Canis lupus familiaris: one gene and its partners. The protein of the gene in region 1 purifies or fractionates together with the protein of each later gene. This does not show direct contact. Links are inferred from orthologs where the notes say so. Each region holds a gene or a part of one and is shown in the gene's direction. Other genes may lie near its edges.

Evidence for each region. Proteins that work in one complex are often made in the same cells at the same time.
Region 2: the proteins of SMARCA2 (region 1) and BCL7B purify together in Homo sapiens (affinity purification with mass spectrometry; 3 studies listed by BioGRID, with this or other methods). This does not show direct contact. The link is inferred for Canis lupus familiaris from reciprocal best matches to the Homo sapiens genes SMARCA2 and BCL7B.
Region 3: the proteins of SMARCA2 (region 1) and SS18 purify together in Homo sapiens (affinity purification with mass spectrometry; 6 studies listed by BioGRID and IntAct, counting the BioPlex papers as one, with this or other methods). This does not show direct contact. The link is inferred for Canis lupus familiaris from reciprocal best matches to the Homo sapiens genes SMARCA2 and SS18.
Region 4: the proteins of SMARCA2 (region 1) and DPF2 purify together in Homo sapiens (affinity purification with mass spectrometry; 6 studies listed by BioGRID and IntAct, counting the BioPlex papers as one, with this or other methods). This does not show direct contact. The link is inferred for Canis lupus familiaris from reciprocal best matches to the Homo sapiens genes SMARCA2 and DPF2.

What each region holds. Positions count from the first base shown.
Region 1 is NC_049222.1:91,431,980-91,435,539, forward strand, and holds part of SMARCA2 (probable global transcription activator SNF2L2), read left to right. Parts: intron 1-280; coding exon 281-454; intron 455-1,528; coding exon 1,529-1,702; intron 1,703-3,560. UniProt on the Homo sapiens protein: ATPase involved in transcriptional activation and repression of select genes by chromatin remodeling (alteration of DNA-nucleosome topology).
Region 2 is NC_049227.1:6,595,255-6,599,311, forward strand, and holds the start of BCL7B (B-cell CLL/lymphoma 7 protein family member B), read left to right. Parts: upstream 1-1,245; 5' UTR 1,246-1,370; coding exon 1,371-1,462; intron 1,463-4,057. UniProt on the Homo sapiens protein: Positive regulator of apoptosis. Plays a role in the Wnt signaling pathway, negatively regulating the expression of Wnt signaling components CTNNB1 and HMGA1.
Region 3 is NC_049228.1:62,527,662-62,531,834, forward strand, and holds the start of SS18 (protein SSXT), read left to right. Parts: upstream 1-1,361; 5' UTR 1,362-1,451; coding exon 1,452-1,520; intron 1,521-2,035; exon of another isoform or gene 2,036-2,342; intron 2,343-2,463; exon of another isoform or gene 2,464-2,935; intron 2,936-4,140; coding exon 4,141-4,173. UniProt on the Homo sapiens protein: Appears to function synergistically with RBM14 as a transcriptional coactivator. Isoform 1 and isoform 2 function in nuclear receptor coactivation. Isoform 1 and isoform 2 function in general transcriptional coactivation.
Region 4 is NC_049239.1:52,349,204-52,353,472, reverse strand, and holds the start of DPF2 (zinc finger protein ubi-d4), read left to right. Parts: upstream 1-1,457; 5' UTR 1,458-1,576; coding exon 1,577-1,608; intron 1,609-4,269. UniProt on the Homo sapiens protein: Plays an active role in transcriptional regulation by binding modified histones H3 and H4. Is a negative regulator of myeloid differentiation of hematopoietic progenitor cells. Might also have a role in the development and maturation of lymphoid cells.

The sequences.
Region 1 (3,560 bases):
CATCTGCTTTTTTTTTTTTATAGTGCTGTAGTGCAGGATACATTGGTGTGTTTTATCCCCCTTTATCTGAATTGCGTGGAAAGGAAACTTATACCATTTTTGAAAATACCACGTAAATTTGGCGTGATTCAGGCCCCCAGTGTACCAAAAGTCTAGCTGTGGTTGGAACCTCGTGGAGCCCCTGCAGTCGGCCCCGCTAACTGGGAGCTGGAGCAGGGCAGGGCCCAGGAGCCAGGCCTCTGTGTCCGCAGCCTCTCCAACTGCTCCCTTCCCTTGACAGCTGAGACAGGAGGTGGTGGCCTGCATGCGACGGGACACAACCCTGGAGACGGCCCTCAACTCCAAAGCCTACAAGCGGAGCAAGCGCCAGACCCTGCGGGAGGCCCGCATGACAGAGAAGCTGGAGAAGCAGCAAAAGATCGAGCAGGAGAGGAAGCGCCGCCAGAAGCACCAGGTACGGAGGTGTGGGTGGTGGGGCACCCCCCCCCCCCCGCTCCATGTGGGCAGAGGTGCCCCCCACCCTGACCAAGAGCTCCGATGGAGCCAGAAGGACTGAAGGACATCCCATGGTGGGCAGTGGGCACATCCCAGAGCAGAAAGGTCCCCTGGAGCTCCCACGGTCCAGCCGCCCCATGTAAGGTGCAGGGAGGCCCTGCCGGGCTGCTGGAGGACCCTGCTTTCTGCATTCCAGGCAGGTGTCTCCCTCCTCATCCCCCTGGCTGGTGCCCCGCTGGATGGGCAAGGGTGGGCTGCCTGGGGCAAAATCCCGAGGAGCGGGCACTTGGAAGAGGCAAGAGGAGAGCAAAACCAGTAGTTCTTATAGCAAATATAAATACAGTCTCCTGGGCTTTTCAAGGGCCCACTTGGAGGTTTCATAGGGACAGATATTTTAAAACATCCTTTTCTAGGGGTTTGGAAATAGTTTGATGTAGGATTTGATTTTTGCATTGCAGTCCTACAAATTTTGTTTGTTTTCCTGGGCTTAATTTAGTGCCCCGGCTTCAGTTTTATTTTGAAAAATGTCAGGTTTTCGTTGGTTCGCATTTCCTCGCCTTTATTTAAAAAGTCAGTCCAAACTCTGTGCAGTGATTTTAGCTGCCCCTCCCGCACCTGATTTCAAATTTCGGGGCTAAGGCATTTAAGTCAGAGCAGAAGAGGCATTACTTTTATAACCTGGCTCTCACTAGAAATATCTGCTTCCCTCGGGTTGATTCAAGGGTGATTTGCTTTAAATTTGTCCTCACCATTTTGCGGGCTTCTGTTAATCCTTGGTTTTGCTTTTTTTCATGAGGCCATATCCATGGTCCTAGACGCTTCTCTTCCACAAGCTGGCGCCTCTTCCCACCAGCCCCAGAGCCCACAGCTCAGCTACCAGGAGACATAGCAGGGCACCTGCCTCACAGAAGATTCTAGTCTTCCACTGTTGTGAAGTGCTCACTGAGCGTTTTCCTGGGCTGCACTGAAATCTCAGATGACATTGGGAAATAGACTTTAAGCGTCCTTTTCCTTCTCCCTTTGGGTCCTGTAGGAATACCTGAACAGCATTTTGCAACATGCAAAGGATTTCAAGGAGTACCATCGGTCTGTGGCTGGGAAGATCCAGAAGCTGTCCAAAGCGGTGGCAACTTGGCACGCCAACACTGAGAGAGAGCAGAAAAAAGAGACGGAGCGAATCGAGAAGGAGAGAATGCGCAGACTGATGGTAAGGGGCTTGCCTGCGGGGACCCAGGCCCGTGGGGTCCTTGCATACACCTGTATTGTGGGTGTTAAATACACCATAGCAAGAGTGGGTAAAAGCAGCTTATCAGATACATGAACACGCCCCTTTGAACTAAATGTGAATAGAGTGAAAGCACCTTCTCCTTCCTCGACAACGCATGCCGCAAATCCATGGCCACAGCTGATGAGTGTATAATATCTCTGTATCCTGGGGTAGCCTTGCCATGCAGGGGATAGCTTCTCACATCAAGGCAGGTACAGTTTGTAGGAGGCTTACCAAACAAATCTAGAAGGATGGATATGGTCGTTCTTTTTAAAATATTGCCTCTTTGAGACTAATGACACAGGTTGTTTTGAGTGAGTGTGTCATGAAGTTGTGTGTCTTAGACTCAAAGAAGGTCTGTTTTTTGAAGCCTCTGGTGCTTATCTTTTTTTTTTTTTTTTTTTTAGTGGTAGAAAATTCTTCCTAACAGAGTAAAAAGTGATTTTTAAGTTAATTTTGAAATGTTACTTTTTCGGTTATGGCTGTTTTATTGTCAAAGGCTATTCGTGGATCATTACATTTGTGCTGTTATTTTCTTAATGGACGGTTAAATACAGAAGGGATTGGTTTACATCGTTGGCCTGGGTATCCAGCTTTATTGACCATTCATTTTTGGAACTGGACCCCAGAGCACACCGTGGATTTCAGAAAAGTGTGTGTGATCTATAATGAGGGGATACTGCACATTCTATCAGACATAATGCCGGAGTATGGGATGGAGATGAAATCGTTAGCCTTGGCCCCTAATTACATCCCTGGAAAATTTCAAGTGACTCTGTCTTCCTTGATGGGATTATGGTTGGCATTTTGTGTTCATTATCTTTTTTGGATTCTGGAGAGTAAACACTGTGTTTTAAAAGTCTCTGCGTCCAGGTGCTACTAAATCTCACCACCCACCCCCATGTCCCCCTCCTTTTTTTTTTGGTGGAGTGGGGGAAAGGAGAGGACTGTCCGCTAGATTTCTAACTAGCTAGGGAGGCCATTTCATAGTGATCTGAGCAGCAAGCAGTCAAATTTGTCTGATTCAACTGGAGTGAAACTATATTAGAACTTCAGTAACAGATTGGCTTGACACTAATGATTAGGCATTTGCAAATCATTAATTTTTGCAATTAAATGATGGAATATACAGATAACAGAGAAACTGAAGTTTTTTATCACTCTTTCTTCAAGTGAGATCAACCATAACCAAATGCAATTAGAGTTATAATAGCATTTGAGGTTCAGGCTCATGCACGGGGCAGACAGCAGCCAGACTGGGTGATGAAACTGCTGTCACTCGGGCATATGCCGAAGTGACACCCCAGGACTGAAGATCCTCAGCATTTCTGCAGTGCACTTGTCTCTTGAGGATTTTGTGACATGTCCCTTTTATCCTGCTTCACACAAGGAAAATATTTTGAGATGTCCTTTTATTGGGATGTGTAAAACAGATTTCTCTTGAAATGGCTCAGAGTACGTCAGTTTTTATTGCATTTAACCTCATAATGTTGCTTAATGGGAGGTAGAGGTGGAAATTACTGGATCTGTTTTATTGCTTAGCAGCATCAGACTCCAGGTGCTAAATGCCTTGTCTGCAGTCACCTAGGCCCTCTGTGCTGTGCTGGTCTGTGACAAAAATCCCCCCGAATTTGACATTTTCCATCAACTGCAATGTTTGTAATGCTTCTATGTATCAGAAGTTGCACTTATTACAGTCAAAGTCCATTTGAGTCTTTGCCTTTAGAAATGATTATTGAAGTGCGCCTGGATGGCTCAGTGGGTTGAGTGTCTGCCTCCAAAGGTCATGATCCTGGAG
Region 2 (4,057 bases), on another chromosome or scaffold:
CTTGAGAAACAGATAGGCCACCTCTGATCCCATTAGTTCTAGAATCATCCCTTCTCTCCACATGCTGGTTCAGCTCTTCCAGTCCTCAGTCAGTCAGATGCTATTCCCAGGCTTCTCATTAGCAAGACAGCATATGCTTATCAAATCGTGATGTTAGTCATGAATGCCTGAACATAGTCAGAGGCTGTGTCGAGTTCGAGTTAGCTAGGCATTTTTCTGAGGCATACAGAAGGAGGTTTCTCTAGAGGTGAGAGAAGTAACCACTGCCAATCAATCAATGCAAACTGTCACCTGCTTCCTTTATGTCTCCTGAGGCTGTTACTCTATGAAGCCTCCCTAAATACCGCAGGCATCAATAAATATGGGGGAGGGAATGGAGAGCAAAGAAGCTGCTCTCAAAATTCAACATTCACCCAAATATTTATTGAGCATGTTCTACAATGTGTGGACACATGTCTTGGAGCAGTTGCACTTGTATCCCGTTTTCAGAGGTCGACTTCAAGGTTATATTTTCCCGGAAGCCTCTGGACACCCCTTATTTGGATTAGGACTACTTTAGCCTATCATTCATAAAATGGCATTTAAAAGGCCTGTTTTCTGGTCTGGATGTTCTGAACTGGAAGCTCTTTGAAGGCAAAAACCCAGGTTTTGTCCTCAGCATTGGCCACGTAGCCTTGCAGAACGCAAGCACCACTCAGTCAACGACTGCAGGATTAAATCAGACAGTGATGTAGAGTGCTAAGCGGAACCTGAGGATAGCAGGGGAAGGCTTCTCTGAGTTGGATCTGGATGTTAGTAGACTACGTGGTCAGTTCACAGGTAAAGTGATGAGAATTCCAGGAAGGGAGCCGGTGTGTGCCAAGTTAGGAGAATATACTGAATTAAGGTGTGAGATTCTGTGGTTAGAGCACAACAGTACTATCCGGAAAGCAAGGGAGCTGGAGAGGAGAGGCAACAGAACCGCGCACCCGTTCGGGTCAAATGCATAACACGTAGCTAAAGGCAGCAACCCCGGCAAGAGGGCAAAGGTGCCGACCTCCAAACCCCGAAAGGGAGCCCACGGGCAGCGCCTCGCACCTCGCCTTGCCCGCAGCACGTGCCGCCGCTCTTCGCGAACCGCGGCCTGCACGGGGGCAGACGGGAGACTCCTGGGGCGCCCAGGGAGGGCCGCCCGGGGCGGGGCGCGCAGGCGCGCTGAGGCCTCGAGCCCCAAGAGGCGGGCGGGTGCGCGCGCTTCCTCGCGCACGCGCGCACGGAGGGGGCGACGGCTGCGGTGACGCTGCTGCGGCGGGCAGGCGGCGGTGCGTGAGGCGCGCGATTCCCTGGGTCTTGGGAGCAGTGCCCCGGCCCCCGCCGCTCCCGCTGCCGCCATGTCGGGCCGGTCGGTCCGGGCAGAGACCCGCAGCCGGGCCAAGGACGACATCAAGAAGGTGATGGCGGCCATCGAGAAAGTGCGGAAATGGTGAGGGGCCGGACCCGAGGGTGCCGGCGGGGTCGCCAGCCCAGGCCCAGAGGAGCGCGAGACTGGCTGGCGGGGTGGGCGCCGACCGGCAGGCGCTGGGGGGAGGGGGGAGCGGGAGAAGGCGGGAGGAGGGTGCAGCTCGCGTCGGCGTGAGGTCAGAGGGCGCGCCGGCTGCCGCCAATCAGGGGGTCGCCCGGCTCGCGGGCCCGCCCACCTGCCCGAGGGCCGCGCGTCTCCCGGAGGGGCTGCGGGCTTCCGGCCGCCGTGGTGGCTGCGTGGCCTCGTTCGCGCGCCGCGCCCCACCCGGCGGGTCTCGGGAGCCTTGCTGCCTCTGAGCTGCCCGGCGTGGTAGCTGACAGTCTCGGGGGGTTTCCCGCCAGCCAGGCCGAGCGCTCTACGTGTTAACTCGTTTTAAGTTTGGTGAGAGCTGCTCGCTAAACCTGTCACGGGAGCAGCCGTGGTCAAGGGAATCAAAACCCGCCTTTCCCCCCAGTGCACTGGCCCGCACGCCGCCAGCTGGGTAGGCTGTTGATAAAGCAGTCGTCGAGACCTACCCTCATTTGGAAACGGCTTGTGTGATGTTCATTGCAGGGCCGGTTGGCCGCCTGTTTTGTATCAGGAACTTCGATGCATCATCACATTAAAAGTTTAACAGCCAACTGTTTGCTCCAACTTCTTGAGTCTTTTAATCTGGCCGACTGCTAGTAATAGTTTTAAAGCCCAGGTAGGGGTTAGCCTTCCTTCCAGAGACCTCTATCCACTCCAGGGGCATCATTACTTCAGGTGTTGTTTTTGTTTTTGCGTGTCTCTTCGTTTCCCTCACAAGTACCTTTTTTTTTTTTTTTTAAGATTTATTTATTTATTTATTTATTTAATTATAGACATAGAGAGAGGCAGGCTCCGTGCCAGGAGTCCGACGTGGGACTCGATCCCGGGACTCCAGGATGGCGCCCTGGGCCAAAGGCAGGCGCTAAACCGCTGGGCCACCCAGGGATCCCCCTCCCTCACAAGTTCCTTCCTTCCTTCCTTTCCTTCCGATTTTATTTATTCATGACAGAGAGAGAGAGAGAGAGGCTGAGACACAGGCAGAGAGAGAAACAGGCTCCACGCAGGGAGCTTGACCTGGGACTCGATCCCGGGACTCCAGGATCACACCCTGGGCTGAAGGCGGCACTAAACCACTGGGCCACCTGGGCTGCCCCTCCTTATTTCTTTATATATAAGAGCTTTATATGTAGTTGAGATTCATATATATTAAATAATTAATGATTTTTTTCCCTCCAAATCTAATCCTCCTAGGGTTGGGGTTTGTTTGTTTTTTGGTGAAACCTAAGAATCAGCACACCTTTCCTTTTCTTCTGGCCATCTCTGCTGAACCCTGACCCCCAGCCCCAGCAGTCTGGCCAGAGGACCATCCTCTCTCATCTGGAACTCTTGGCTTTCTTCAACTCTCATTACCCAGTCCATTCATCACATTGCACTCAGAGTGATTTCACTTTTCAGTGTAAATATTATCATAGCATTCCCCTGCTATAGAAACAATGCTTCAGTGACCTCTTCTTGCTCTTAGGTTAAAGACCAAAGATGGTCTTCCTACCTCACTGGACTGGCTCAGACTGCCCTCTTTCCCCGTGTGGCTTGCCATCTTTCAGCGGGAGCCACAGGAAGCCTGGTATCATCTACCTTCTCCTCCTTGACTAGTTAACTACTCATTCCTTGACCAGTTAACTACTCACAAAAATTGCTTTCTCAAGGGACACCTTTTAAGATTTCTAATCTAAATCAGGTCCCCTTCATAGAACTTTCCACAATTGTATTAGATTGAATAATAAGACATTTCCTTTTTTTTTTTATTTTTATTTTTATTTATTTATGATAGTCACAGAGAGAGAGAGGCAGAGACAGGCAGAGGGAGAAGCAGGCTCCATGCACCAGGAGCCCGACGTGGGATTCGATCCCGGGTCTCCAGGATCACGCCCTGAGCCAAAGGCAGGCGCCAAACCACTGCGCCACCCAGGGATCCCAATAAGACATTTCCTATATTTGACTTTTTAACTTAACTGAAGTGGCAGTTTGATGTGGTTAAGTCTAATGATTAAGCAACTATGAAATGAGTTGTTTGATTTCTGTTTCCAATTGGAATGAGGCTCTGTGAGGGTAGGGACTGTACATCTTGCTGCCTGTGTGCCCAAGGTCTAGCACAGGATCATGAGGAAGTGGAGTGCTCAGTCCAGGAATTAATTTCAGTTTGCTAAGTCTGTAGTTGATTCTTCTTTCTGTTTGTTGAACGGCATCATCAATATCAGCAGTCACAACACTTGCTTTTTTTGCTTTTCTGGAACCTCACATTTGGATTTGAAACTTTCACAAGTCATTCTTCAGGCTCCCCAGCTCTGCTTGTCCATAATCTAATCCTTATTCAAGAATGTCACTTGCATTCCCCCAAAACTGGGGGAAAATTTTTTTTTAGGCTTAACTTTTTAAAAAAGATTTTATTTATTTATTCATGAGAGACACAGAGAGGCAGAGACATAGGCAGAGGGAGAAGCAGGCTCCCTGTGGGGAGCCTGATATGGGACTCAATCCCAGGACCCT
Region 3 (4,173 bases), on another chromosome or scaffold:
TCCTCGTTACCATCTAGTCTTTCTTAGAAGTTTACATATTTACATACTTGTTTCTAATCTGTCAGCCTTGTCAGAATATAAGCTCCATGAGAGCAGGTTCCATGTCCACCGTATGACCGCTATATCCCAGGTGCCTAGCACACAAAACTACCAACGTTTGCTTAATGAAACTTAGGGCCTCTCGTGAAGAGCATATATTTGAAACAAAAACTTTAAAATATGCATTTTTTCTTAGTTTTTTTCCCCAGTTTTATATGTAAATGAAAGAGTTGTTTTTGAGCCTCATTACCGTTGGGCGACGGCTACGTCTTACATAAACGTTTCCTTTGTGTTCTATGGAAGTCCACATTTACAGAATAATTACACCCCCAACCCCCGCCCCTCCCCAGGGCCAGTACCTTACCCACATTTGACCCGTGTTCCTGCCCTAGTTTGAGAGCTTTGGGATTTTTTTTTTTTTTTTTCCCCTCGCACTGATTTGAACCCTGGCAGCTTGGGCCTAATTTACAAAGCAATCAAGTCTGTAACTGTAAAAGGAAAACCGTGAGGGTGCTCGGTCTCAAAACTTAGTCCCGAAGCTCCTCGTCCGACGAATTCGGCGCGCGTCTGTGCCAGGGCTTTGCCCCACGCGGCGGCCGGCCGTGGGCGGCCTCGGGGACCGCGCGCAGCCGGCCTGCTCCACTGGGGCCACGGCCACGCCGACTTTCCGACTGTTGGGCGCGCCCGTGCGCCTGCGAGGCTGCGGACTCGGAGGTGCGCCTCCGGGGCGTAGCCGGGCGGTTTGAACCAGCGAATCCGCGGCCGCCTACACCTTCCACCTCTGCTCCCCTCGGCAGGCGCGGCGCCGGGCGGCTCGAGCTCGCAGGTCCTGACCCGGTGCCGGGACAGCCCGGGCCGGCCCCTTCTTCCCGGGGGCGGGGGCCGCTGAGGATGAAGTTGACAGAACTGAATCGGGTCTCGAGCCGAGCGCCGAAGCGCAGGCGGAGGGCGGCTCAGCGCGCAGGAGAGGCAGGCAAGTGGCACCGCGCGAAAGGGGCGGGCCGGCTCGGGCGCTCGCATTTCCTGTGACAGGGTCTGCCCCAGCCTCTCCTTCTCCCGCGGCGGCGGGACCATTTCCTGAATCGCTGAAGCGGAGGGAGGACTGGGGCGCGGCCCTACCACTAGCTCCGACGGCGCGGGGGGGACGGCCCAGCGAGGGGCGGAGGGCGGGAGGTCGGCCGAGAGCCGGGCAGCGCCGCGGGGGCTGCGGCGCCGGGTCCCGCGCCGGCCCCCGACTGCGACGCGCCCGAGGAAGAGCTGGGGGCCGGGCCGGCCGGCTGCGCGGTCGGCGCCGGAGCATCCCCCCTCCCCGCGTTCCCGAGGTGGTTCGGCCCGAGAGGCCGGCGTCTCTCCCCCAGTTTGCCGTTCCCCCGGAGCGCTCGGGACTTGCCCGTAGTGGTGACGGCGGCAACATGTCCGTGGCGTTCGCAGCCCCGAGGCAGCGAGGCAAGGGGGAGATCACCCCCGCCGCGATCCAGAAGGTGAAGCCTCGCGGGGTCGGGGATGCCAGGCCCATCCCGCCCTCGGGGGCGCCGCCGGGGGCCGGCCCGGGAGTCGGCCGGGCGGGGGGCGGAGGCGGGCCTGCTGGGAGGCGGTCGCGTGTGGGAACCCGAGCCGCGGGCTGTGCCCGAGTGGGCGGCGGAAGGCGGCGAACCAGCCCCCCCACGGAGCCCTTGGCGCCTCTGGGCTCTCTCCTGCGGGCACAAAAGCCCAAGTAGCCGCCGCCGGATTTCTCCGGGGATGGGGCGGCGTTCGGGCGGCGGGGCGCGTGCGCCCGGCGGCGCCGACGGCCGCGCGGGGAAGGGCGGTGTGTGGGAGCCGGCGCCCCCCGCGGCCCCGCGCGCCGCTCCGGAGTTACTTCGGCGTCGCCCCGCCCCGCGCGCCGCGGCCGCCGCCGCTGCCGCACACCCGACCTCGCGTCGCGGGAGGCCGAGGGGAAGTCGCAGCGTGGGTCGCCGCCCTCCGCCGCCCCCCGCCGCCCCCCGCCGCGCCGCGCGCTCCCGCCGCCTTGGGGAGCTCCCGGGAGAAGTCGGGGGGACGCCGCAGGCGCCTGAGGGGCGGGCGAAGGAGGCCCCTGTGGACTCGGGGGTCCCCTCCGACGTCCTCGTCCCTTCCGGCTTCACCCCCTAGCCGTGTGCATCTGCGGCAGGTCCGCTCTGAGCGCCTGCGCCGGGTGCTGAGCCTGCAGTGGTGACCGCGGTCTAGCCCCGGAGACCACCCGGCCGTCGTGACCTGGAACGCAGTGGTGCTCCCTGCACGGGGGAGGGGGGTGCTGCCTCGGTCGCTGCTCCGCTGCCTGCCAGCTAGGGACACAAACAAAGCTGCTTTATTGTCCGCTGTCCCTTGTTGCCGATGAGCAAGACCGTAATCTGAATTTTAGTCAACCAGACTTTGAAAAGTTACTTGGTAAATTCGGCAGTTTACCTTAGGTATCGCGGTTCTGTTGTATCCATTGGGATGAAGATGAAAACCGAAGAAAAGTCCACTTTTTCGTACCCCTCAGGCACCGTTGTATGCCGGCAGATTATGTTAACGGGCTTCTGTTGACTGTCACCTTCTTTCTCGCGTGGCATTTGACATTTGCCCAACTGTTGCTTTATTTATTTATTTATTTATTTATTTGAACAAACCGGCCTGTCAGTGCCTGGAAGTGGCGGTAGTTTCATAGAGTGCGTTGGGCTAAGTCTGCAGCCTGGCAAACAGCTCCAAGTACATGCACGAAAGACATGTTTTTGGAGGGATTCATTTTTTTTTTTTTTTTTTTTTTTTTTAAATTTTGGACCGTAGAAGAGTCCTAAGGCTGGTTGGTTGGTTTTCAAAGAGTTTTTCTTGCATACATGTTAAGATATTTACTACCAGTGATTACTCAGGAGATGCAGATCAATTAGTTTTCATTCTGAAATGAGAAGAGAAAACGGATTCTAAATTAAGAGCCTTACTTTACAGTGTGAGAGATTGATGTTAGAAATGAGACATATTCTCCAGTGAAGTTTGTTAGGTTGAGTATTCAACTGAAGAGATTATGTTGTGAAATCATTAGATTGGACTAATGGATTTTAAAGACTTTTTTTTTCTTTTTTGGCATCCGATGATTCTGTTTAGGAAATAACTGCACTTTTTGGAAGAGCATGTCAATATATTTTTTTTTTTTTCTAGCAAGTGAATATTGTGATTCTTATGTGGGAAGAAAGTCACAAGATTCAGTGGATTTTTGTTTTTGATTAAAAGAGCTACATTAAGTTATTGAAGTAGAGTGATTATTGTATTATACTTTATGTTTATCGAGTCTTGGAAATGTAGGACAAGTTCAGGAGGAACATCTACTCCTGTCACTTGACCTTAAGATAAATCTGAGTCTTTAAAATCGTAAGTGATTTGCATAGGATTGTGAGGCTGGCACTAAAACTAACTGGTCTTTTCATTACTATGTCAGTACTTTCCTCAGTGCACCCTTACTTAGATGAATTATTTAATCCTTTAAGCCAATACTGCTTTGAATTGTTATAAGACAGTAGAATGATAAGTTGATATGCTTTTTGTTTTTAAACTCTTGGGACAACTTAATTTATAAGGTAAGCTTGTAAAGTCTGTAACGAATACATATTCATAGAAATTATCGTATTTGATTATTCCGTATTTGGTATATGAACCACAGAACCATACTGTATAACACTTGGAAACTAGCCAGCTATCTCCTCAAGCTTTATGGGCTTATATTTTCATGTATTCATTGTGGATAAGGACAAAATGTTTCTTTACTCCTGCAGAGCATAAGAATGACGCAAAGTTAGCTTTGACCCTTACCTTTTAGTCTTAACAGGCTAAATCTTATATTACAAGTAGCAGAAGTAATAAAATGTTTGAATACAAAAGAAACTCGTTTAGGGCTTCAGGTAATAATTTAAGGGGAGAATAATTGGAATATAGTTCTTTGAAAATTACTGATTAAACATATCATTCCAGGGGTGTAGAATAAGACTTAAAAGAACTGAATAGATTCAGTTCCTTTATGAATAAACATTTCTAGAAATCTGAAGGATTTAAAAAAAAATTTATGTGATGCACTACGTTTATAATAAACTTTTTCTAATTTTATTTCAGATGTTGGATGAAAATAACCATCTTATTCAGTGT
Region 4 (4,269 bases), on another chromosome or scaffold:
CGGAATTTATGGAATGAGGTATATGGCAAAGACCATGGCCTGAGGACTGTGACATTTACAAGTGGAACAAAGGACAGACTTAACAAAAGAGGTAAAGGAACTTCAGTGTGCTTAGAGCACATCTAAGAGAATGCTGGTCTCAGAGACCCTGAAAAGAGCTTGAAAAAGGAGGGAATGTGGGGGGAATGTGGGTTGAACGCTGGACTCTTGATGTTGGCTTAGGTCATGATCTCAGAGTCATGGGATCAAGCACCCCCACCCCCATCGGGCTCCTTGCTCAGCATATCCCTCTCCCTCTTCTTCTCACCCCCTCCTTTCACACGCTCTCTTTCTTAAATAAATAAATCTTTAAAAAGGAAAAAGGAGGGAATGGTCAGTGGTGTCATGGTGTCTGTGTTTCAACGAACCAGTAGGAACAAAATCATTAAACTGGGCAGAAGGGGCCTTGGAAATAAGTCAGCAGAGATACGGAGTATAAACAGAAACTTTGCCTTGAAAGGATGGAAAAAATGGGACGATAATCCAAGGCCACCATGGGCTGCAGGAAGGGCTCTCTGATTTTTATTTTTTAAATTTGTAATTTTTGTTGTATTATTTATTTATTATTTATTTATTCATGAGAGACACAGAGAGAGGGAGAGAGAGAGAGGCAGAGACACAGGCCGGAGAAGCAGGCTCCATGCAGGGTGCCTGACGTGGGACTCAACCCCGGGTCTCCAGGATCAGGCCCTGGGCTGAAGGCAGCGCTAAACCGCTGAGCCACCGGGGCTGCCCAGGGCTCTGATTTTTATTTTATTTTATTATTTTTATTTTTTTTTATTTTTACAGGGGCTCTGATTTTTAAAGATGTTAAGCCATGTTTGTACACGAATTTGCGATTCAACGGTGAAGGAGAAATGAATGGTACGAAAGATTCAGGGATAATTGCAGGAGGGAAGTTCTTAGAGCCTAATTGGAGGGACAGAAGTAGGAAGCAAGGGAGGTGGGTAGCACTGAAGTTGGTGGCAGGGTTTTGTGGGAGGAAGGGGAGGCAATTTTTGCCAAGACTCCAATACTCATGCCAAAGAACTGCTCAGTTCGGGACGTTAATCTTCCTCTCCCTGAACGGGCACACGACTGGAGGCCCAAGCGGATGGTGCACCGTCTTCTGCTGTCCACCAACAGCCCCCTCCCCGCGCCCGTGAGTGAGGACAAAGGGTTAACCACAAGGTTAAAGGTCGGTGAGGCAGCAGTACGCATAGGCTCCATCTAGCCTAACTCTGGGCCTCCAGTTTTCACCAGCTTCATGTCATCATTTCATCAATCCTCTCCTTTCTGTACCAGCCCAGACGCTCCCTCCCCGGTCCGGTCCTCACGGTGGAAGACCCCGGGCTCCCCGCCCCCGTGCCCGTCGCGCCTGCGCGTTGGGCTCCCTGGGCTCCCCCGCCCCTGTGGACAGTCACGAAGCTGCTCTCGGGCGCGCGTGCTCGGGCGGCGCCTGCGCAGAGGAACGAGGAAACCGGTTCCCCGGTGCGGTCCCTGCGCCTGCGCGCTGAGGGCTCCGGGCCTCCCGGCCTGAGGGAGAGGAGCAGGGAAGATGGCGGCTGTGGTAGAAAATGTAGTGAAGCTGTGAGTAGTGGTTTCTTTCTCTCCTAGGCCAGGAGGTCTTGTAATGGGCCTGGGAGTAGGGGGCGGCGCGGCAGGGGACTAGGCGGAGGGAAGGACGTGCCCGAGAAAGCCTTGTTGCGACTCCTAGTAGGGAGGGCAACAGGAGACTCACAGGAAGACGTTGCGCTTCTTTGGAAACTTGTGGAGGCCCTGAGGGGGGCACACGGGAGCCCCTTACGGGCAGCCTCCCTGCGGGGCTGTGCGGGCTGAGCGCTCCTTCGGGCTCGCGGTGTCCTGAGTATGGCGCCCACGTTGCAGACGAGAAACACGGTCTGAGTGCGCTCCCGAGACCAGACGCCTCGGTGCGGAGGGGCCGGGCCGGGCCGAGGGCGGCCCCGGGACCCACCCGCGTCCCCGCGAAGCCAGGCGCCCCCCCTTCCCGCCCCGCTGCCCGCAGCAGTTCCTGGAGCAACAGGCTCAGCAGCCCTTGCGTGGTTAAGCATGGCGGGGCTGTTTTAACAGCCCTGTGACGTCCGGGGGTGGGGGGTGGGGGTCTTGAGTATCTGATACCCGAGACCAAAAACATTATTGGGAAGAATTTGTTGAGGTGCGGATGCAGCAAGGAAAGAACTTGAGGGCCTTTGCGCCGGCCAGTCCAGCCACCGAAAAACGGGAAGTGGACGGAAGCGGTCCAGGACGCCTCTGCAGCCTAGAGGGGCATCTAGGTCGGCGTGCTGCGCGCTGTGCAGTCAGTCCCCTGCTGCTGGGCAGGCTGCGAGCAAAGTTAAAGTTCATGGTTGTTGGGGAAATGGAGTGTGGTCTGTTGGCCGTGAGTTAAAAATGCTTTGGGACTTGATTTAACCCAGCCTCCTCCCTGAAGAAGATCGAAATGGGTTCGTACCTGGTGGACGAATAGAGCGAACTCTGTTTAATGGGTGAATTGGGCTTGGTGCAGAGGTGGGAAAATTGAGAGGTGACTAGTTGTCCAGGCAGGGCTTGTGGATTTTGACTGGATGACAAGGTAAAGATTTGGAACTATTCTGAGGGACTCAGCTTCTCAGCTGCCTTTGTGGTGGGCTGAGCCCCCACTCTTCCCAAGAGTCTTTATGGAGAGTACGTTGCTTTGCCCACATCCCCCCACCCCCACCCCTCCCCGCCTGGAGCCTTTTCTTTGAGAATGCATTCCCACTTCCATTAAGCTAAGTGCCTTCTTCTCCTCCTGTGGGTTTTTTTTTTTTTTTTTTTTTAACTTGCTTTCAGCTCCATCCTGCGGCCTCTTTTCAGCTACCCCTCCTCCCAACACTATTATCTTTCTCTCTGATCTGCCCACTCCAGTTTCCCCCAGCTCTTTCTTCAGGCTGACATTTCCCTCAATTTAGAAATGTCGCTGTTGATCTACCATTTATATAGTTATCCTTCCTGACTCCTGTTCTTTGTTTCCCTGCGTTTCTCTTTGTTGATTACCCTCCACCCCAATCCCATTGTAAAGGGAGGTTTTACACAGTTTTCATGCTTCCCAGAAAAGAATCAGAGCTCCTACCTTGGAAATTTACTGTACTGGGGGAATGTAAGACTTGCCTAGGTTTTGCGAGTTCACGGGTAATGGGACTTTATGTTGGAAGACTTTCTTCAGGGGAATAGAGTTGTCAACCCTTTCATGTAGTACTAGAAGGGAGGAGTTGCCCATTTCAACAGAGCATGACTTACTTCTATTAAAGGGACTACAGAGATTGTGAGGGGCACCAGCCACTAGTTCCTGAGTACTAGTAACGAGAAACCAACTTTCTCCTCAGTTCTAGCTGCAGAGGACTATGGACCGCAATTAATACATTTCCTTACAAAACTTGCCCTTTGAGAAGGGGTTTCCAGTCTTCCTGTACTATTCTCACCCAGGAGAGAGATACTTTTCTGGAGCTTCTCTTGATCGTGGTATGCTTGTTTTTTGAACAGCTGAGGTTATACATTGAGGTCAGCACTACTAGCTCATCTTCTCTGGCTTGCATCTTGTTCTGAGAGAATTTTCTTATTTATGAATTCTCTCACTCTCTCTTAGTTTCTCCTCATCAGATTCTCTCTCCCCCCCCAACTTAGGCATTTCATTCCCAGTTCTCTTACTCACAAGACAGTTTGAACCACCTTCTGAAATCCCACTTAACTCACAAGTGCTTTGATAGAACATCTCTCATTGTTCCCCAAAAAAAACCAATTCTGGCCTCCATGCTGTGACTTTGCAGCCCTCAGCCTGTCTCTCCGTCCTTCCATTTGACTTCCAGTGTCAGTATCCATTCCCATCAGCAGAAACAAAGGAGCTGCTGCACTCGGCCTGTTTATCCAATTTTCCTCTGTGTGGTGAGGACATGGCTGCCTCCTAAAGGCCAGCTAATGTGAGCCTGTTCCCTTCTCTTCACTCTCCAACACAAAATTCATGCTTACCTCAAATTACAGGCATTACTGCTCATTGAATCAAGCCAGGCATCGCCTTGTGTGTGATGTATGTCTTTTTCAGTTGCTTGGGAACATACTAAGCTGTGCCTAAGTACTATATTGTGACTGCTCTGAGAAGCCCCCCTCGGATTCCAGAGCGTGGTTTGTCGGTGTATCTTGAATTACGGACATAAGCAACAGAGACTCACTCTGCCCAGCTTCTCATGCTAGGGGTCTCCCTCATGTAGAATATGTTAG